Linked DNA regions of Styela clava. The protein of the gene in region 3 purifies or fractionates together with the protein of the main gene of each other region. This does not show direct contact. Links are inferred from orthologs where the notes say so. Each region holds a gene or a part of one and is shown on either strand. Other genes may lie near its edges.

The links.
Region 1: the proteins of stress-induced-phosphoprotein 1-like (region 3) and ATP-citrate synthase-like fractionate together in Homo sapiens (co-fractionation; 3 studies listed by BioGRID, with this or other methods). This does not show direct contact. The link is inferred for Styela clava from reciprocal best matches to the Homo sapiens genes STIP1 and ACLY.
Region 2: the proteins of stress-induced-phosphoprotein 1-like (region 3) and dnaJ homolog subfamily C member 7-like purify together in Homo sapiens (affinity purification with mass spectrometry; 4 studies listed by BioGRID and IntAct, with this or other methods). This does not show direct contact. The link is inferred for Styela clava from reciprocal best matches to the Homo sapiens genes STIP1 and DNAJC7.

The regions. Positions count from the first base shown.
Region 1 is NC_135263.1:10,041,529-10,048,920, reverse strand, and holds the start of ATP-citrate synthase-like, read right to left. Parts: upstream 3,107-7,392; 5' UTR 3,003-3,106; coding exon 2,844-3,002; intron 2,413-2,843; coding exon 2,227-2,412; intron 1,043-2,226; coding exon 929-1,042; intron 485-928; coding exon 408-484; intron 267-407; coding exon 187-266; intron 65-186; coding exon 12-64; intron 1-11. Other genes in the region: cilia- and flagella-associated protein 206-like, read right to left, coding at 6,790-7,392. UniProt on the Homo sapiens protein: Catalyzes the cleavage of citrate into oxaloacetate and acetyl-CoA, the latter serving as common substrate in multiple biochemical reactions in protein, carbohydrate and lipid metabolism.
Region 2 is NC_135261.1:467,415-475,190, reverse strand, and holds the start of dnaJ homolog subfamily C member 7-like, read right to left. Parts: upstream 3,014-7,776; 5' UTR 2,811-3,013; coding exon 2,731-2,810; intron 2,447-2,730; coding exon 2,358-2,446; intron 1,229-2,357; coding exon 1,104-1,228; intron 441-1,103; coding exon 327-440; intron 1-326. Other genes in the region: 26S proteasome regulatory subunit 7, read right to left, coding at 4,646-5,950. UniProt on the Homo sapiens protein: Acts as a co-chaperone regulating the molecular chaperones HSP70 and HSP90 in folding of steroid receptors, such as the glucocorticoid receptor and the progesterone receptor.
Region 3 is NC_135264.1:16,802,036-16,809,733, reverse strand, and holds the start of stress-induced-phosphoprotein 1-like, read right to left. Parts: upstream 3,055-7,698; 5' UTR 2,845-3,054; coding exon 2,830-2,844; intron 1,866-2,829; coding exon 1,782-1,865; intron 975-1,781; coding exon 843-974; intron 288-842; coding exon 146-287; intron 1-145. UniProt on the Homo sapiens protein: Acts as a co-chaperone for HSP90AA1. Mediates the association of the molecular chaperones HSPA8/HSC70 and HSP90.

The DNA.
Region 1 (7,392 bases), on a different chromosome or scaffold from region 3:
ATTATATTTACCTGGTCTAATTTAGCAGCCATGTCAATGACATAGATATCTGTGCCACACATAACTGTAAACAGAAATGATACAAGGATCTGTTATTAATGATTGAAATTACAAATGAACTTTGGGAACGAGTTCACCGATTCAATAATTTGAATGAACAAAAACACACCATATACAAAAGTTTACCTAGTGGGTTTATCTCCAAATATGTAAAATGAAGATATCTGTACATGTTGAAAAGATCTTTGATGAAAGTCCCAAGTGTTCTGGACAGATGATAAAAAGGCAGGTTAATGAAGAGAATGAAACATTTGCAAAAAGAGTAGAAAGTGTATAGGCGTTTACTTTAGACAACAAACATTGTGACAAAAAAAAATGCTATTTTCAATTAAGATCACAATACTTACTCATGAGCATTTTTCGAAACTTCTCCGAGTAGATTCTCACAAATGTTTGATACAGTAACGTCCTCCTCAACATCAATCTGTGAAAATATATGAAAATATGACAAGATTTTATGATAAAAACTGTATTCAATGTACCAAAACTACATGCAAATTCACAAGGAAAAAATCTCCAAAAATTCAAACATAATGTACAAACTTAACCCTGTACCCATTTTGTTACTATTAAGTATTCAAACTAACAGTTTTCAGGAGCCATTTGGTACTTTTAGTTAGAAAAAGGGCCTATATAAGCGGCCAGTTGAAAATAGTCACCAGAAAGACATTTGAATCGCCATATTTTTTTTATTCAATTAATCAATTTTAAAACAAAAAACTAATGTGATTGTGTTGCATTTTTGTATTGTCAAGTTTCGACCAGAAACCTCAATCTATCGCTAAGTCAAACACTAGTTTCACACGCTCGAGAATATATTGACCAGCATGGAAAATTTGAGATTCGGGATTTCAGTGTATTTTCATACCTCTATTTTCTTTGCTTTTGAATCAACATCACCAATATCAACACCACCTTCATGATAGAATAGGATCGCATCACCTGTTCTTGTACCATAGATACAAACATAATATTCTTCTTCCTGTGAATGTAAAACAGGAAAATGAGTAATATCTATTGAAATGAAAATCAAAACACATCTCGTGCTTGTAATCATTAAACACGAATGAAATCAAAATACTTTTAGGCCGCAAGAGAACATACTACAGTGCACTGTCCAATTTCAAAAAATGATTCCTTAAAGCAATATAAAAGCATTAATAAATAGTATGGCAAACTCTCAGTGCCAAAATGGAAATTTACGAATTTCGATCTGAAGATCTTCAAATTAGTACAGTCCTAATTAGAATTGATTTATTGGTTTTCGGACAAGACATTTTATATTCGAACAAGTTTAAAAATCCAATTTTATGATTTCAGTTTATTGATGTATTTATGCTTTCAAGGCCAAATCAATTCAAACATTTTGACAAAAGGTGTTGTTTTGCCAAGATAAAATCAATAAATCTTCTGCTTTAATTAATGAAATCTAGAAAAAAAAATGTTTGACAGCAAAATCAATACCATGGTTCTTGTGTTGATGATATGATACATTTTAGATATTATATATTGATAAAACTTTGGAAGTTACCGTATGAATTTCAACACAGACTTGTAAATCAATCACAATAAAAGAACCCATTCGCAAAAAAATCTAATTAAAATTACGACTATCTCAGTTTTACATGACCTAGACTTCCGTTGACAAGCTTTTTATTATTGACAAATTCAAATATTCCATGGGTTATTTCATATCTTCCCTCGAATGAAGCTTTGAATAAGTAGATCGATACATGGCAAGATATTGTGTTTTGAAATGTATTTTTGTAGCTTGAAAATGCTTGAAAATCAAATTTGTATTAAGTAACGATTATTAAACCATTTTTCTATCATATTTATGAAAGTTTCAGAACTTTGTGTTTTTAATTCTCAAAAAAAAAAGAGTTAATTTTATCACAGACAAAGCAATCTTCAATCTGATACTTTTTTGATTTTAGTTTACAACGTGAAAACTGAATTGTATGAAACTTGAATTTGTATGATAATTCTAGACTTGAATGATTTCGGAAGAAGACTTTTGCTTCTTGGATTCATATTTACCATTCTTCAATACATCAGAAAGCACACTGAGAAGATGAAGATTTAAATAGCAGTGTCTTCTTAATCTATAAATCTTCTTTGCTACAGAAATAACAACAACAGTGACAATTTGATTTATTTGTTTACCTGTTTGTGAGGAACAAAAGGCTCAATGATGAAATTTTTCAGAATTCCTTTTGTTGATCCGACAACTATTTCCTTTTGAGCTCTTTCTTTGACCCATCCTTTCACACCTTCGACGTCTGTGTTCAGCTTTATCAAACCAAGTTTTCCTCTTCGTTTTATCAGCTGATCAGGCTTCACAATTAGTTTCTGCAAATTTTTAAAGAAATTGATGAAATTAAACTTGATTTTCCAGATTTTTTTTAGCAAAAAAACACGATTTCGGTCAGATGACGGCCAACGCACGTCGCAATTGATTTAAATTATTACTGAAACAAGCATGGCATGTTGTGCCGCATCTGCCGTTGTGCCAGATGCCCGTATTTCAGAGACAAATGGTGAGTTTGTTTTATTGTACCAAATGTCGGTACATCTTGGAATCAGAGAACTGCATGAAAGTGCTATTTTTAAATTATATAAAAATTTTATTTTTATGTTGCTTAGGACAGTATGATAGTGAAAAATGCACCATCAAGATTTGGTACCATTTTGGTTAAGCTCTGCATATTTCTCAAAACTGTCAAATATAAAAGTCAGAAAGTAGAATAAAGTCACACAACTGAGGAATTATAAATTGTTACCTCAGAATTCATCCATGTATTTGATGCTACAGTTGCATTCCAATCACTGTATCCATTGACAGTTGCAAATTTGAATCGGTTTTTGAGGTTGGACGAATCTTTCAGATGTTTTGATAAAAGAAGTTTTCCATCAGCTTCAGAAATTGCTTTGGCTGACATGACTATGTTAGTTGTATTTCAGTAGTTTATTTGAAAATCTATCAATAATGTGACTGTAGTATAACTACATAGACCAGTAGAGTACAAGACTTTCTATTAATACTGTAATAACACTGCATTACTATAATACAGTAATACCTGAATACACTAGTATAAGTCCATCACTACTACACTGCAGAGTCTAGATTACATGTCAATTTATTTTTATATATTTTTAAAGTTATAATTGATAAATATAAACCATGTAACCCCATGTTTTATAACTAATATAGTTCGTTTGTAAGCTTCTGGACAGTCAGTAGAACCTTCAATTTTGCAAAATTTCTGCCAGAAAGTATTATTACTGTATTAGTGTATGATTGGGGAACTAGCATTTTTGAATACCTAAAGTTCATAATGAATATGAAAAAGTCAGTCAATGCGCAACTCTGAATCAGGACCTAAATCACAACCGCACTTTACAAATACTACAGCGCAGACCAACGCCGCACGGCAGCGAATCGCGACTGATCCGGCCGGCTCTGCAACAACTTATCTTAAATAATAATCGGCTGTTTTTCTCTCCACATCCGCCCACGACATGCCCCGTTGTCGACGTTGCATCGATACGTTAAAGCGGAAAATATAAAATGACATCTCGACGAAGGTATGTATTTATTGCAACATTATGATGTCGAAAATTCATCGCTCTTATTCGTACGTCTTTTGACGTTCCAATTTAGCGTTTGTCTACGTATATGTCCAGTGATGAGCTGGAAAAATCGTAACAACCAGAAAGCAACTAATTCGTGAAAATGTATCATATTTACAACACGTCCAGTGGTCAACCGACGCTCTACCCGAGTTTTGTTTTTCTCTAAAAATGGCAGGTTTTCATAAAACTGGTCGTCATGTACTAATTGAAATTTATCCAGCAAAGCAGACACATTTTTTTTCTCACTCAGACAGATTTGTTTGATTAATTTTAAATAAAATGGTGTTTTTTGCAGCGTTTGGCCTCTCGGCACATGCTGGAACTTGAAAATCCTTTTCAAAATAGGCATCGAAACATTATAATGATAAGGTACGGACGTTTCCCCGAACTTTGGCTCCTGAAAATTTGTCCTTATCCTTTACTTTTCAACACAAAAAATGTATGCCTATCTCACCAATCCTTCTAACTTCGACCCTGGCTTTTTAGTATTTTATGTTTGACTTTTTCTCGAAATGATTTAATGTTAGACTCACTCCCTCATCGGTGACCCTGCTCGATAATTATCACTAGTTTATCTTCTTTCACACTGAAACGTATTTCTTCGTTTTTTTATCGTAATTATGTTTGTCTACTGTGTACTTTCGGCATGTGATAGAATAAACTACTGACTGGCCCGTTTGTCTTATTTCTCTAAATCAGGGGTCGGCAACCTTTTGTCTCTCGCGGGCCAAAATTAAGGGTTGCAAGTCATTGGCGGCCGCACATATTTTTAGAAAGTTGAAGACCGAACGGATGATACTTTTTATAATAAAAATCAAGCAGTGATACATCTCTCGAATAGAATATAGATTTATTTCCGCATTGCATTGCATCTCAAAAAATTCCATTTGAATATTTTCGGCGCTATGAACCCTTTGCGCTTAGCATTAACTTTTCTGCGTTTTGTTTAACTATAATTATTAATTAAAGGCTCATTTTGAACAAGTAATTGTGAATTTTATACTTGTTAGATTATAATATAATTTAGACTACACGTGTATCACAATAAATCCTGTTTTTGTCTTGTCAACATGCAACTGTAAGCTAATCTTGCCTTCATTCACCTCAGAAACGGAAGTATCGTATCCGCAAGTAATTCACTCCGCTTCTCTATTAGTTTTCATAGTCACTTTGAGTTTTATCTTTTTTGAGGCATGGATACTTCTGCTTTAATTCATGTGTAAAATGGGTTTTTACCGGGTCTGCTGACGAATTTTTTTGCCAAAATCGAAACTTTACTAAATTGCGAAATACAAATAAAATGACGTAAAATAATTGCAGAACAACACGATTTTTCGTGATAAACGGCTATGCATTACAAGTATGCATTTAACCTAGGGCAGTGCTCTGCCGAACTTCTCCACTATTGTGCAAGCTCCCGTCAAAGGTTGAAACTAGGATCTCAATCAGAACTTCACAAAGGGGAAGCTAATTTTCTGCAAGGTTATATAAAATGATCATTGTGGTGTAACCTTAGAATTAGATACTAACTAATACGATGTGTGTGTAAATAGTGATTGTTGTGTCACAATGGTGTCGCAGCAACCATCTTTTGTTGTATAAAAGTTGCATTCTGGAGATTAGAAAGATGATATAATACCTCAAAAATGTAGGTAGCACGAGTCATCCGTATCCAAAACTTTAAACTGCATCCGAATGAGGATTGAAACTTTTTTTTTTCACGGATTTTTGCCGAAATTGACATAGCCTACATTATGAACTAGCGCAATTTTGATATGAGTTTTAATGAAATGTACTGAATTCAAGATGTAACGGTCATTGACATGTCCAGTAAAACATATATCTGCGCGAAGCTACACCCGGCACACCTGAGCCTGACACACCTGAGCCATTTCACGAGTTGTTTAAACGTGTAAGATTGTATATCTTCGATGGACTATCGCAATTTTAATATTTTTTCTTAATTAGTAAGCTGGGTACTAGAAAGATTTTATTATATATAACTATTGTAGAGAACCTTCGGCGAACCTCTGGAACAGCTCCTCCAAGTTTCTACTCACTTTGAAATTTTTTTTAACACATCAAAAACTGTTGAGTATATCATGAGAGAATTTTGAATAATTAATCCCGCGAAAAAGGAGGACATTTTGACTTTTTATTGCGTCCTTGGAGGACACAAAATTTTCAACGAAAAAGGAGGACGTATGGTCACCCTAATCACAAGCAAGACCCAGACGGAGTTACACTCAACATATAAGAGGACTTTACGAGAACAGAAAAGGCGTAAGGATACATGCATGGTGGTGTGGCTCAACGGGCTAAGCGTTAGGAATACGCTCGCCACCGCACCTCTAATTACTCTGCGTGGGTTCGCAGGTTCGAATCCCATGTAGGGATGGTTATGTGCGAGAGGATTGCTGGACTCCTCGCCGTCGTTGGGTGGTTCACGTAACCGCTGGTCGGTTACGGCTTCCTCCACCACCAAGTCCATGCTTCCGAAAACAAACAATACAGTAAAAACTAATCCCATACCCGACTTGGAATGGTAACCGGACGAGAGGCCGTGGTTCGCCATATGGATAAGCCGTCTTATCGGCTTTCCTCTCCCCCGGGATAAATATGTAAATCCTATCCTATCCTATCATCCTATACTGTCATTTGTCGCAACAGACAGCCCTATCACAAGATGTCATGAAGAATTTCTACTGGCTACCGGAGGACAAATCAATTCAGCGGACATCCACATACAAGTTTGGCGCCCAAGCAAAGCCCCATTTAAATATGAATTAGAGGTATAAATACCCCACAAGATGACTGACCCAACCAGTGCCTAAATTTTGATGTTCTCAATAAACTAAAGCTGAACAATGCAGATTTTTGTTTATATTGAGATGGGTTGAAAAAAATGATAATTTTTTCAAATAAAGTAGAATTTGGTATTCCCGAATACCTGAACACACATTAATGAACTAGATTCCTATATGCATGTTATTATAAAAATACAAACAGGATTTATAATAGAACTTTTCCTATAATAAAGGATTAGAAATATCTTTATTAGAAGTAACATGTAAACAATATGAAAACTAAATATTAAGCGTCATTGACATCTTTTGTTAAATCAACTCTGACCATAGTTCTAATTCCTCTGATTCCTCGAAGTCCAGCCATGAAAACTTGCGGCTTTGGAACATTGCTTGAACTTTCTTTCTTGGTTTGTGCACCTTGTTCTTTTGGCAAATATACTTGACTCACGTTGTCTCTACGGAGATTACTGAGATTTGTCTGTACTGTTTTTGTAAGCTTAGTACGCAGGTTTGCAAGTTTGATTGCTTTTCTTCTCAATTCCCACTCGTTCCACTCATAATCTTTAACTATGTTGTGTTCGAGTATGTGAGTGTCTGTTTGAGTTCCAGAATCGGATTTTGTGACAGGTTTTTCAAACATTTTTCCACCCTCTCCTGCTTGCGGATAAGGAGTAATACTGGCAAACTGCTGATGCAATTCCAAAAGCTGGATCAATTCCGGTGAAGCCTTTGCAGCTTCTGCAACTCCATTAATAAAAGTTGGAGGATTTTTAGCAAATTCAACAGCAGCTGCATTAGAACTAAAGACATAGAGTTTGTCTTGATATTGTAAAATGCCAATATCTGGATTCCCTGGTAGTAAAAGTCGATCATTCCTCACTATTGAAAA
Region 2 (7,776 bases), on a different chromosome or scaffold from region 3:
TTTGTATATTTCAGTATTACACAAGTGTCTGTTACTTTCATTCATTACAAAAATTTCTGTAGGATCTATGGGATTCATTTTCTGTGTGCGATGTCATCATCAAAATAAAAAATTGTGCACCCCATGGCGGTTCCGTGTACGCATGGTCAGGTGAAGCCGAGAGATTGCGTTCCCGTACTACTTTATTTTGGCCTTGATGTCCATATATTCGAGCATTGCTTTCTTTATTAGAATATACTCAATTTCATATTCGGAATTGACCATCCGTGGCATCCACAATACAAAAAAACATGCATTAGAGGGACAAGACAGACTGGGCAACCCACCTCTTGCATTATAGCTCCGGCACTTGGATCGAGATCTTTGGCTTTTTGTAACGAGAGAAGAGCTGCTTTGGAATTGCCAAGTGCAATATGACATTTGCCTTCACGAAGATAACCCTAAGAAAGAAAGAAAATTGTATGTTCTTATTTATGAAGCACCTATAAATTGTCTTATAAAAGTTTTGTCATTACACAAATTACTTGAATATTTTTTTATACAATGATTGTCCCGAGTTCTACATTTACCCAATGAATTATAAATTGTTACTTGTTATTTGGAAACACCGAACATTTGCGGATTCACGTATCTTGATCTAACTGCAACATTTTACATACCCAACCTGAACTGGTAACTGGGAAACATTGATTTGCTCTCCATATGATTCATACCCTGACAGATTTCCTCTCAACCAGGATAAATTTGAGAATCAACGATTCACCACCAGGGAGGGACGGCTCTCAAGTGAGAAAATTTTGTTGTTTTGAGAAATGAAATTTTACTTTTGGTTTTGGCCGATTTGGTTTAGTTTCATTAATATTGTTATATTTATGAGCGCATAAATTCTTCAAACCGTACAAAAGCAAGTGCGTGTTGCACATATCGTGGAAGGTTTTTGGTGGATTTTCACTGTTTTCCCCATTTATGCAAGATTTCTGCACATTTTTGGTGGATTTTCACTGTTTTTAACGTTTTTGCAAGCGATCTGTACGTTTTTAGTGGTTTTTCACTGTTTTTGCTAGATTGAAGAAAAATGTCAAAAAAAGTCCTAACAATCTCACCTTAGCAAAGTGTGGGTCAAGTCTGACACTGGTCTGGGCATCTTCAAGAGCTCTTTTATAATTGGAATCCATCATATAGGCTGCTGATCTGTTTCCGTAGAAAGCAGCATTTTTTGGATTTAGATCTGAGAATAACAAGATGGAGAATTGTGAGCAGGAATGTCCAGATTAGATTGAATATTCTCGAGAGTGATCAAAGAATTGGAATTAGATATTTTGGCATTGTAGGTAAAAGATCTTGGTAGACCCATGGGTTTGTTCCCCGTGCCCATTGTCTCACCCATGGTGCGATGAACTGAGCGTGAAGGACTCTGATAGTTTCAGTGACTTCTCAGTAAAGTAGTGGCAAAGTAGTCACATTAAAAATATGATCGTAACACTATAATTTAAATTTCAAATTAATAGAATTGACAATGGCTTTAATGAAAAATATGGCCATGTTAGCATTTGGCTGGCAATGCGAAACGAGAAAGGTTTCAGTCGTTTTAAAATCAGTAAACAATGGTCTCTGGCTTGTTTAGAGAAAAAAAGGGGGTGGAAATGGCCTCCTTAAAATACATCCAAAATTATGGATAGTAACATTCTAAATACTGATTTCGAAAATAATTTGGTTTTTCAAGCATTTGACATTTTTTTCAATTATCAATAACTTCAAACCAATGAGGAGAGAGGAATTGCAGATATATACCCATGAATTCTGTGGTCTAATATTATAGTTATTTAGTATTATTGTAAGTCATGAACCGGTAAATATGTTCACATTATAGACCATTCAAACTGTACAAAAGTCAGATTGAGAGTTGTGCGTATCACTAACTAGAGATGCATTAATAATTTATAAAATAAAGGAAACAGGGCTCCAATGCATAGTGAGAGAGGAATAAAAGAGATCCGGTGCTCCCGAAGTATGCGAACCAAGATGGCGGTCATCGGAACGTAACATGGGTAACAGGTTAGGGTTAGGCGATAATTTTTTTCCAATTTTCCTTATTTTAGTCCTATTATCAGTTCGAAGACTAGCCAAGAGCCTCCCGTAGTATTTATACCTAAAATTATGGCCTAACCCTAACCTAGTACACATATAACATTCCGATGTCCGCCATCTGGGTTCGCATACTTCGGGAGTCCCAGAGATCCAATATAGGCAAAAGGAGGAATGTATTGAAAAATGTTGGTAACCACCGACTTTAAAAATTCTACGTTAAGCTAAATTTTGAGCACCCCTAGTGGGCAGACTGTTAAAACAAATCTTACCAATCGCCTCAGAATAAAGTCTAACGGCTTCTCGATAATTTTTTTTCTTGTAAAACTCATTTCCCTCAGCTTTCTTCACTTCTGCACCCCTAAATAAAAGTTAAAAATTTAGTTATAGAAGGAGAGAAGCAGGGGGGTAAAGTACTTTAAAAAATGAAAATTATTATTAGCAATAAACACAGATGGCCAAATCTATTCCAAAACAATGGGCCTATTTTTAAATATGGAACATATTTATGTGATGTTTTCTGTAGATCTTTCAATGCCCGGTCATTGTGCTGTCATCGCTAAGCAACGAGGTGAACATTTATTGTCCAAAATATTCACACACAAGGTAATATAATTTAACCGCCATTTTTTGTCCAAAACTTACTTGATGTCAATCTCTGGATCTACATCCATCGGAGTTTGAGATGACGCTGGTATCTGCTGACTTGAGTCCGTTGAAGGCATCCCTGCTGCCTCAAGTGTCCAGAGTTTTTTATTGGGAAGGTAGACGTTTGGCTTTGATTTAGCTCTAAATGATTATCCAGAATTTTCGAATCCGATTTCCAAATGTAGGCTGTATCCTTGAAGGATTTTTGGAGTAGCTACTTCACTTTATATTCTACCTAATCCAACCTGAGTACAAGCAGCCGAAGGCCCACTAGCAGCCACTAATAATACAAAACAAAGCATCAAATAGGTGACCAAATGGATTCATACAAATACATATTGATTTAACATGGCCCGTGCTCAAGTTCATACACCAATAGGTCTTGCACAGAAAATGAAAAATTTCCAGGATTGTCATAAATGAAACATATAAATTAGTGGTTGTTCCCAAAGTTGATTGACAGGAGGCCAAAATTAGAAGCGGAAGGATATTGTGGGCCTGGAAAGAGCAAGTGTGAGACATTTATGTAATCCCAATACCAGTATGTACAACCAAGATACCAATATAATTGAATTATTACAAATATACACAAACACAAGCTCAAACTGCGATATTTAAAACGCAAAAGGATAAAAACGTAAAGTGTGGAACTATTTTACTCAAGTTCAGCGGGCCATGTTAAATTGTTATGCTGGCCGTAATTAGCCCACGGATTTGGGAACCACTGATATAAATGCACAAATTGCAAGAAGTAAAAACAAGATCCTTCATCTTTTAAATACCAAATAATAACAGAAATGAAAATGAAATTCCAGGGCCTATAGATATTAGCATGTCACTGTTGTTAAACTTGGCGCAAGTGGAACATTAAAAGTAAATTGAGGGCTTCAGCCTTCAATCCAAACAGATGAAACTTGAAAAATATGTTTTTAGGAAATAAGGAAACACAAATTTTTGACTTTCAATTGAACTATCCAAACTTTTTATTGAAATAATTTGATGGATATTGTTTCAAACTTTGAGAAATAGAGAAATCCACTAAATCAAACTGTTACACAGGCCTTGTAAGAAATTCATCAATAGTTCAGATGCAGAATATCATCACTGATGTGAAAATAATATTAACATTACCAGCCAAATCTAAAACATGCTCATTTCAAATAACTGTCCAAAATAGCAAACCAAACGTAACAAATGTGAATCCAAACATTCCTACTTATGAAACACAGCCCTCAATACCAACATAATCTTGCAATTCCACGAATAATATTGACATTAATGAATAATAACGACAATATCTAGTAGACTAAAAGGGTACTTTTTCTGACCAGACAGGCTGAGCAGTTGGATGGGGGCCACATTGCCAGACTCAAAACTGATTTTACATTTTCTTCTACTAGAAAACAACCCATTTTCCATCTGTTTTACCATACCGAGATTTGGGATCAAAATAATACTACAAATACCACTGGAATAATAAACAGGGGGCCATGATCCTCTGGGAAGAGGCCACAAGCCATAAAAGTTTGGGAACCACTGTTCTAAACATTTCCATATACAGCCCTACACAACAATACAATCAAGCCCATCCCATAGGCAACAAATGATATTGCCATAAATAGATAGACTAAGAGAGTGTTAACAGCAATATCACACTTCCAGAAGGTAAAAATACCTGTGACCTAGATAGTTAATTAACCTTACATTACTATCCTGATATGACTGGAATAATAATTTTTTTTAAAAAAACCTAAATGGACAATGTCAATATAACTTGCAAATTGTAAGTTTTCAGTTCTATAATTATATCCATTAATATTATTGCCAACGTCAATTTGATGTGAATTTTTTGAAAACATTTTTTTTGTATAATTCCAATATAGTCAACAATCCATATAACATAATTCCACAGTTAGTTATAGGTCATATATCTTGGTGTTGAGCTGAACTTTGCGTATGACTTGATCACTTTGTTGACAGCTTCCAGAAAATCTTTTTCCGTTGCAACTTTTCTTCGAGCACGAATAGCGTACATTCCAGCCTCAGTGCAAACGCTGCGAATTTCAGCGCCAGTGCTGTTTGGGCACAAACGAGCCAAAAGCTCGTATCGAATGTCACGCTCGACACTCATACTCCGTGCATGGATTTTAAAAATGTGGGTTCTGCCTTCAAGATCTGGCAACCCAAATTCTACTTTTCTGTCCATTCTACCTGGACGCATCAGCGCTGGGTCTAAAGTGTCAGGCCGATTCGTTGCCATTAGTACCTTGATATTTCCACGCGGGTCAAATCCATCCAATTGGTTGATGAGCTCCAACATTGTACGTTGAACTTCATTATCCCCGCCAGCTCCGTCGTCGAATCTAGCGCCACCTATGGCATCAATTTCATCAAAGAAAATTAAACATGCTTTCTTAGTACGAGCCATTTCAAATAATTCACGAACCATTCTGGCTCCTTCCCCGACATACTTCTGTACCAACTCGGAACCAATAACACGAATAAAACAGGCATCCGTACGATTAGCAACTGCTCTCGCGCAGAGCGTTTTCCCTGTTCCTGGGGGTCCAAAAAGAAGAACCCCCTTTGGAGGATCTATTCCAAGTGTAACGAAACGTTCAGGGTGCAACAAGGGAGTTTCCACTACTTCACGTAACTTCTGAATTTGCTCTTTGCAGCCTCCGACATCCGAATATGTTACATCTGGTTTTTCTTCAACCTGCATCATGGTAACAGTGGGGTCTATTTTAGGGGGTAACGGGATATGAATTTGGTATTTATTTCTATCTACCCCCACTCTCATGCCTTCTTCTATATCGGTTGGAGCGACTTGATCTCCAAGGTCTACGACGAACTTCGCAAATTGCTTCACATTGATGATATACTTGGCGTTATCTGTGTCAGCATCAATAATTTTCGTACATCGGGCTACTTGCAATGGTTGTTCACTATGCAACGTTTGTTTATCCGCGGCAAGATCCCACAAAGCCGGTGGGGCGAGTCCAGTATCCGATTCTTTAATTCCTGTGAGCTCATTAACACGTTTCGTAATCGCTATGATGTCATCTTCAACTTGTTTGATTTGCTTCGCATACGGACCCTGTCCGTACGTCTTCAGGAGTGCGATATCTCCTTCATCCAGAGCTTGGATCGGTTTCTCGTCCTTATTTTCATCGTCACGGACTCTGCGTTGGTCATCTCCCAAATAGTCTGGCATTTTTATTGTTATTTACTTTACTTTATAAATTATTATAACACTAGCAAAATTGAACTGTTATTGAAAAAACACATACAGACTTACCGGTATATAATTATTATTATACATTATTCGCTATTTGATTAATTTTTTTAATCTGTGAATGAATCATTTTACCATCTCTACACGTTTGGCAGTCATCCGGTGCAGTTGCATTTTTCAGCGGTGCAGAAGGACTGAAATGAACCAGCACCGAAGAAATATCAACATGTAAATACTGAAATATTGGGAAAAATACTACAAAAAAGCGCAATTTAGTAAAATCATCGTTGAATTTCAATCCGATTTACCGAAGGAGAAAAAATTTTACCGGAGCATTCGAGAGTTTTTAGCAGAAAACGGCAATTTTGGTCATGTGACTGCCACGATTAATTTAGATTATTATTGAGACAAGCATGGTGTGATATGACGCATCTGACGTGGCCCCAGACACCCCTCGTTTGTGAGACACATAGAGTGTTTGGTTTATTGAGCCAATTGGAGGGAAATTCTTGAAATTTGGATAGGGTGCTGTACTGTGCTAGAAATTCTACTTGAATACTAAATGAGAATTCAACTATATATGCGTAAATAGTTTTTAATGTAAATTGATATGACCATAACAATGCTCAACGTTTTTGAACATTCATTTGATGGCATATTTTTGTTTTGTTCTCTCTTTGTGTATACTGTTTTAACAATGCTGGCCACGTCAATATATCAATTAGGCTACAGACCTGTTCACGTGTGATTAGTGTTTTTCCTGAAAATTGTTTTTATTAGCGTTCGTACACCGAGTTTACCGTCATAGTTTAGAGTTTGCTTGATCTTATACCACTTCATCACCTTTTTCAGCAATGCCCGATCTAGCAATCAGGCAAATAGCAGTGTAGTTTTTCATGGCTCGGTTTTTCTTAGCTTCAATGACTATTGTTGTCAGTTTATTACATTGCACTCCCCACATTATCTTTATATCAGATTGTATTGGTTATATCAATGTAAGTGTTAAAAGTACAACAGCCCGAAAGTTAAATACTATTTCGTATTTGGGGTCTCGTGTAGTTTCGTATCTAACATACTTCTAGTGGGCGTAGCATCACAATTTTCTGACATATCAATCCTAACCCCCACCTGACTATGCCATCCAAATATTACTTCACTGCGACATCACAATCACGTCATAGAGCTTGACAAATATACGTACGATCGCCTGAAATGGCATCGGTGCCGGCGATAAAGAACTTACTAACGTTAGTGATCTCTCTCATATTGGGATCGTCGAGATGAAAAAACGAGAGAAGTAGCCATTCGATTTCAGGTGTGCAGACAAGCGCGTTTTGGATGACGGTTCGTATAGTTTGAAGGGCTCTATTACGCCACTGTGACGTCAGAGAGACATAATTTTTGGATGGCATGGTCAGGTGGGGGTTAGGATTGACACGTGCAAATATTGTTACTATACGCCCACCAAAAGTATGTTAGGTACGAAACTACATAAGACTCCATATTTTGTTTGTTCAATTCTGGCCCACGCCTCATTTAATTTGGTTTGTGTGTGTGCTGAGGGGCATGATATTTATCATGTCTTAAACTATTTTGTATGCTCTCCGGAATCCTCCATTTTTAATCTGTGTGTGTTATGGAGTTTTCAAAATAAACTACTGTATCTATCTAGGGTTACCATATTTTTTTGACTTCAAAGCGGGACTCCTCCTGTAACTTTACATTTTCCGATTCACTACATAGGCCTACATTTATTCTTCATTGACCATATTGTCATCAGCAGTGTTCACTATTAGCGCACTTTT
Region 3 (7,698 bases):
TGAAAGGCACTTCAGGCACTGGCGGTGAAGTAGCCATGGGCAACTGTGCATAGCAACGCACAGTAAACTGAGTACACTCAGCATAGGATAGCTATTCAGGAACAAAATAAACTGCAATTCAATCTTACAACACACTGTTACTCACTAGAAATTTCATCTTCACATTCCTTCAGTCCTTTCTTTAGTTGTTCATTGTTTGAATCAATTTTCAAACCTTCTTCGAAAGTATTCTTGGCTTCGTCATATCTTGTAAGAAATTGTAATGCTGATCCCTTACGTGAGTAGCCCTGGAAATTAAAAGATTTGAAAATGTGTATATACTTTATTTGAAAAATTCCTAAATGCGAGCCCGTCGTAATAAAGTAAGCTAAATGAAATAATATCTAATCCACTGTCTATCCTTAGTCATAGAGTGGTTCACGTAATTACTGCCTCCTTCCACACTCGACATGGACTGGTAACCGTACAAGAGGTCATGGTTCGTCATATGATTAGGCCGTCCTATCGGCTTCTCCCTTCCCATTATAAATCCTATCCTGAATCCAATCATCATTACTTATCGACTTCAATCGATAAGTATGTTGATAGGTATCTGTCTGTTAGATACACGCGATATCTCACGAAATCGAGGTTGAATCTGCTCCAAATTTTGCATGTGCATTCATCATAGCTCGGATCAGAAGCCTATTGATTTTCGATGAATTATGTCGTATAATTGGCGAGTTATCATTTAATTAGTAATAGGACACACGGTGTCACTATGGAGTAAGAGCGCTGTTTTGGGGGATCCCCTAACCTTCGATCGATGAGTCTTCGGTCTCCGACCGATATTCTCGTTTTACCTTTGGCCATTTAGGCTGCAGTTCAATAACTTTCTCTGCATCAGTCAATGCTTCCGAATATTTTTCATCCTTGGCATAAGCTGCTGAGCGATTACTGTACAGTATATGATTGTCTTTATCAATTTCAATTCCCTGAAATTAAATCAACACATTCAAGATTAATTATATTTGATATTATTTGCACTGCACTCTGAACGAGGCCCTGTGCAAGCATTTACTGGTATAAAAGGAGCTAGTATTTATTGAAAGCCTGGAATCATCCATTGTCAGAATCATTCCACTGCAGACCCCATTTATTACACCCATAGTGAGGGAGTTGGAAAGGAATATTTTTTTAATATTCCCATTTGCTGTCAAGTTCACTTCCTTATAATGCATGGGTAGTTTAAAATAACTCTGATGCAAACTTCGTACCAAATGTCAGAATGTTTGCCATATAAATTTGAGCATATGCCTTTTTCGATTGTCTGTTTAAAATGATTAATCAATTTAGGGTGCTCCCGAAGTATGCGAACCAAGATGGCGGACATCGGAGCGTAACAGGTTAGGGTTAGGCGATAATTTTTATCCAATTTTCCTTATTTTAGTCCTATTATCAGTTTGAAGACTAGCCAAGAGCCTCCCGTAGTATTTATACCTAAAATTATGGCCCAACCCTAACCTAGTACACATATTACATTCCAATGTCCGCCATCTTGGTTTGCATACTTCGGGAGCCCCCAATTTAGTGCTTTTTGGATTATCACAAGTTGAAGTCTGAGATTGCTTTTCAGAGCCTTAACGGCAGCTCCAAGAAATTAAGAAATTTTTGCATATGTACGGTAGGCTGTTAATGAGTTAGCCTATCAACTTGTCCTGTTAGCACATCTTTGCTCAGAAAGTCATCATGCAAGCAATACTACAAATACAAAAGCTTCGAAACTAGGAAAGTAATTTCACTTTTGTATAAGCTTCGATTGCGTCCGCTATTCTTCCTTCTGTTAATGCTTTGTTTCCTGTGGCTTTGAATTCGTCAGACATTGTCTGAACAGAAAACAAATGCAATAAAAACTCACAAAACAGCTAAGTGTTTTTCAATATTTAAGCATTTTGAAAAATATAATAAAAAAGGAGCCAAACCAAATAGTCTACTATGAAACATATTCAGAATACTGGAATGCATGTTCAGATGTTACCGTGCTTTTTGACGCCTAAAATTTGTTAAAAATAACTGTATGTTGGTTTACTTGGCTTACATATACATTTTAATATTTCGGCAGAAAAGAAAAGATGAAAACACGGCTAATCATGATATATTGTCAAGCTAACCAATAAAACCAGTTGATTCAGTAATTGTCCCATACAACGAGTGGGAGTGGTGACTCTTCTACGGCCCATGAGCCGGGGCCACGGCCCATCGAAATGGGCCTCGGCCCATCAGGCTATGGGCCGCGGCCCATCAAGTTGTGTAATGGGGTGAAATAATAAAGACTAACAAATATGTAGTTCCTACCTAAATCCTACCCACACCCCGAACTTGTAATAGAACTATAATGTGAAAAATCTGAACAAAGTTTTGTCCTAACCCTAACCTGGTACACATACTTCAGGTGTATCATTTTCTGTAGCTTAGTGTTTTTCTTTATTTTTATGTAAAGGCTTTTCATAAGAAAAAGCTTTGGTGGCATCCCGCGATTTTTTTTGGTTCGAAAATTGACAATTTTGTAAGAATTGAAAATTTTGGCAAGATAATTGAATTTTTTTCTGATGGGCCACGGCCCATGTGGCCCAATTAGATGGGCCGTGGCCCCGGCCCATGGGCCTTACAGGAGTCACCACCCCTGTACTGCTGTAGCATACAACTGTCAGACTGTAGTCTACAACCATATGCATGGCAGCTCAGACTCAATTGTTGAAACTAAGTTCCGAAATAACCAGCGGTTGTAGACTATCAGTCAAACAGTATTCAATGCCGATCTAGACAATAAATTTTTCTTAGAATAGTTACCTTATTTTCGGCCATTTCCACTTCCCAACAAACAAAGATGGGATGTTACACCTTTATTTCTCAACCAGTTTGTCTTCAAGTCGACTCTACCGGACACAGCTTGCAATTAAGAAATTATACACAGATTTATATGTTTAAAATACCTAATTTGATCTCTAAAAATTGAAATTTAATACAAAATATAGATGAAAGACCAAATTCACTTCTAATGACCAGACTTTCTTTAGAAAATTCCCGAATTCACACATGTGAATACGCTTGACTGCACTTCATTCGAGAAGGATCATTCTGGCTGTGGTTCCGTGATTTCTTTTGTTGCAAATTTATATCCGCGATATAGGATTTTATATTTATCCCGAGGGAGAAATGAGCTGAAGAGTCCACCTAATTATATGGAAAACCAGCAATTCTTTTGCACATAATTATCAACTACGGGATTCGACCCCGCGAGCCGAAGCAGGGTAATTATAGATGCGCCATAAGCGCGGCGCGGTTCTTGGGGTCAACTTTAGTCTTCAACTAAATTGAAAACTCGTTTTGCGCGCCGTACTATTTTTCCTTTCCACTAGTTTCAGCAGCGGTGCATGAAGCCTATTCTTTGAGGTCATCTAACCGAGAAGTGAGCCCATACTGGTGGGCCATGTAGGCTATGTATATATGACATAATAAGTTACATTTCAGGAACAATATTTACAGCGAAAGTGTGAAACAATAAGCCTTGTGTCAAAACTACTTTAGTGGTTCGCTCGTAATTTCTTCGTAAGAGATCACGTCCTCTGCTTCTGAGTAAGATGAACTAAGTAAATAGCTGACACCAAGTTAAATAAGCGACTTCCATCTGATGGGGTTATTTGGGTCTCTTTTCTGATCCTAGTCACCGTACACCATCATTTCGCGTTCCTCTCTTTGCCTGGGCCTGACAACACCTTTCTTTCAACCATTCTAGCCAGCTCCTGCATATGACCCCTTTTCGGGTCTCTTTCCCGACCCCAGTCACCCTGTGCTCGACTTGTCTGCACCTCTCTTGCAACCAGATCAGGCTGACTTCTGCCTATCTTTCTTTCCCCTTTCTGCCTGTACCTTTTTTTCTTGACTTATCCTCTTAATTAACCCTGTTTACGCTCTAGATAACTTTCTACACATGAATCCAGTGGAATTCGAACCCAATCTTGTACCTGGTCTTATGTTTACAACACCTCTACGCTTCCTTTACGTCACGGATATTTACGATGACCAAAAGGTTTAAAATCTTATTTAATTAACAACCTGACATGGACCGGTAACCGGAAGAGAGGTCATGGTACGTCATATGATTTTTTATTCGTGTCGGCACCCCTCTCCTCGAGAATAATATTAAAAGATTTTGTCTTATCCCTAAATTTGGTTTTGAAATTCTGGGTATCTTTCAAAGCGTGAGGAATATTTTTAAAGAACCACAACTACATGGTCGCCAGTCGGATGAACAGCCTTCTCCTACTGGGCTCTGAATTGGTATCATTCTTCCAGAGACAGAACTGTGTTTGTAGAACAGGGGTTCCCAAACTGGGGTACATGTAGTGGTGGGATTCAGCCGGTACAGTTAGCATTATTGGTTACTGGCAATGACTATTGTGAAGGAACCGGCTGGCAAAATATTTGAATCCCACCACTTAGAGGTAGGCTACAATGAGACTTTTCAACAGTTTCATTTTATAAAGTAGAGACCAATATGTTTTCCGGCTTTTCAAATTTAGAGGGGTGTTTCCAAATTTGGGGATGGTAGATGTTCTACATATTTTGGTAGATATCGGCGTATATTGTAATCCACTTTCTGAATAATCAAATACAATTTTATTTAAGTTAGGAATTAAAGTGTGATGTCACGTCTGAAAATTAGGAGATTGTTTAAAATTTTTAGCGGGAGTGTTCATCCCCTATATATGGGCATGTAGTTAGATCAATGGTCGAGAGTGCTAAGCATAAGAGATGCACGCTCGCCACCGCAGGCGGGATAAATATGTAAATCCTAGTCGTTATCGAGTGCTGTGATGGAACATTTTTAATTGCAGAGCCATCGCTGTGTATTCAGATTGTCCACATTCCATTTACTTCGGGAAAAGTCAAAGTTTTTGTTGCACGCTAACACAGCAATCACTTTGGTAATTGACTCCTCTTTAATCATCTTTACAGTGCACGGCCAAAACCGTCTATGTATGAGATCAGGGCTTCCCGAAATTTCGCGCCCGATCCCTTCCAATATATTGAATCTTCTGCGACCCCTGTTAAGTCGGCATTGTAATGCAAGCGCGCCACTTCTCTAATCCTATATTTTCTCTCGAAATCGTGAGATTTATGTTTTGAACTGGTTTCAATAATTATGTTTCGGGTTAAAAGCCTAAAATGGTGCAATAGATATAGTACTGTGTTTGAAATTGGTGTACCCTTTGCGACCCCTAAGATTCATTGCGTGCTCTGTAGTTTGTGAATCATACTGTTTTGTGATCGTTAGGTTTCGTTTTAACATTTGAGTGTTTTATTTTGTGACTAATTGTTATTACTAGTTGTTTGACAAATGCGTCCATATACGGTGTGGCTCCGAAGTAGGCTAGATTTTTTTCAAACTTTGGGCATGGTATTCTTTTAACATTTGACTTTTTTTAATATACTAGTTGTTTGACTAGGTGTGGCTAAGAAGGCTGCATTTTTTTATGGATTTGGTTTTATAATTGAATGACGGTGATCCTGAGTTTACGCCACCTTGTATGTAAAAATACAGGGTGTCCATAAAGTCGCTTTGATATTTCAATTTTGTTATGAAGTCAGTTCTCAATATACAGGGTGTCCAATCACATAATCGTCCGCACAAGATTCAAAAGCGCGCACGGTAATTAAGAGATGCGGTGGCTATCGCGCTCTTAACATTTATCACGGTGCGTCGACCGCCAGAGTTAAAGAACACCAAGTAACATGCAGTTTGGGCCGAAGTGAGGTATTATTGGAAATACTATTTATTGCAACAAATCGGTTAGTTAAACTCGCTTAGATTACTATTTATTTATTCAAGAGTAGGCCTCGATCCACCGATACTTTTTTTATATTCACATGTTGCAGAGAAGATTTAAAGATCTGGTTTCCTTTATGTGAGAAAGCAAAAGGCAAAATAAAAACACCAAGAGAGAACAGATGTCTAGACTTGACGAACATTTCCGTGATGAAAGATGATTTGGAATAACGCACCTTGCTGTAGGCTACACACGTGGCTTTTGCTTGGTAAGCTAAGTATTCATTACATTCGAAAATAGTAGATCCTACCATATCCATGACTGCTTTTAATCAGTGGCGTAAATACATAAAATAGTGCCCATGGCAAAGCAAAAAGATTCGCTGCTTGATCGTTGACTGGCAACCTTCAAATATCGTTTTTGAATTGAGATATGTGTACGTCGGTGACCGTACATTTGAACCCACGTACATTTGAACCTATGTGTATATCCACGGGTTCAATCTATATGCGGGTGCTAAAACCCATGGGTTAGGGTTAGTGGGGGTTTAACTATTCGTTAAACAAAAAAAATTCCGTAGGTGCAATAGCATACAGGTGCAATTGTCATGGGTTCAAATGTACGTGGGTTCAAATGTAATGGAACCGTGTACGTCAGTATCTAAGTAAAAAGGTGAGTTTCAATAATTTCCAATTTGAGATTATTTTGATGTCTATTGCTTGAGAAGCTAAGTATTTATTTCCTTTATAAATAGTAGATCGTTGAATAAAACAGGCCGATATAAATGCACAGGTTTGTCGTTTATTCTTATTTGTTGGGTCGTCGAATCGGGTCCGTTAATTTAAGTTAGCCCGCATGATGCTGCAACCACCAAACTAAAACCAAATTTGAATGTTTAAGATAAATAATATAGCTCAAAAAATTTGTTGAAATTGAAATAAAATTTAGTTCCACTTTTGCTTTTGTAACACTGTAAATATTGTTCATAAAATGTAACTTTTCCCGCTACACTCTAGGTCAGGGGTGACGAACCTGCGGCCCGCGGGCCACATGCTGCCCGTCAAGGAATTTCGTGCGGCCCGCGAAGCATTCAGGCGATTTAGTGTATTTAGTGGCGTGAAGTCATAAATTCTTATGAATACATATCTGATGATTTGCCATGAAATTTCCATGAAACTGTCCGCGCAATTAGACAGGCCACTTGTGAAAAAAAGTATTCAATTGACAACTAATCCCAGTCTATTTATATTCCTAGCGTTATCAATTTAAAGGTGTGCTTAATGTAACCTGCGGCTGCGTCGACAAAATGACACAATACTATGAAATATCACGGCGATCCACGACCATAAAAAGTGTTTCCAACCGCCCGAATATATTTAGTTTTTATTCGTATTTTTGCAAAGTTACTAATTATACAAATTTGATTGGTTCTATCAATACTGAGTACTGACTTCGTTTTGTCACAATGCTACCACCCAAGTTTTATTTCGAGATATCAACGTTAGGACGATCCTTTGATCCGCGATAAAATATCAAAGACTACAATTTATTTTGGTACAATATAAATTGGTTGTACAGTGATGCCTCAGTAGTCGATCAAAACATTCAAGAGTAAAAATGCTGCGGAACGGAAATTCGGATCCCGAACCGGAACTCGCGGTCCAGTGAAGTGACGATTGTATGCGGTTGAAAGTTTCCCAAATCGTCAATTCGTCCTAATATGAAGCGCTTGGTAAAGCATAAAAGTTGCCAAATATCTCACTAAGAAAAACATGCATTAGTTGTTCTTTTATTTTATGCTGTAATATATCATCAAATAACTACAGCTGTATGGATGCAGTTGTTCGCTTTCGTTGATGAAAATTAAAAGGTATAGTATGACTCAAAA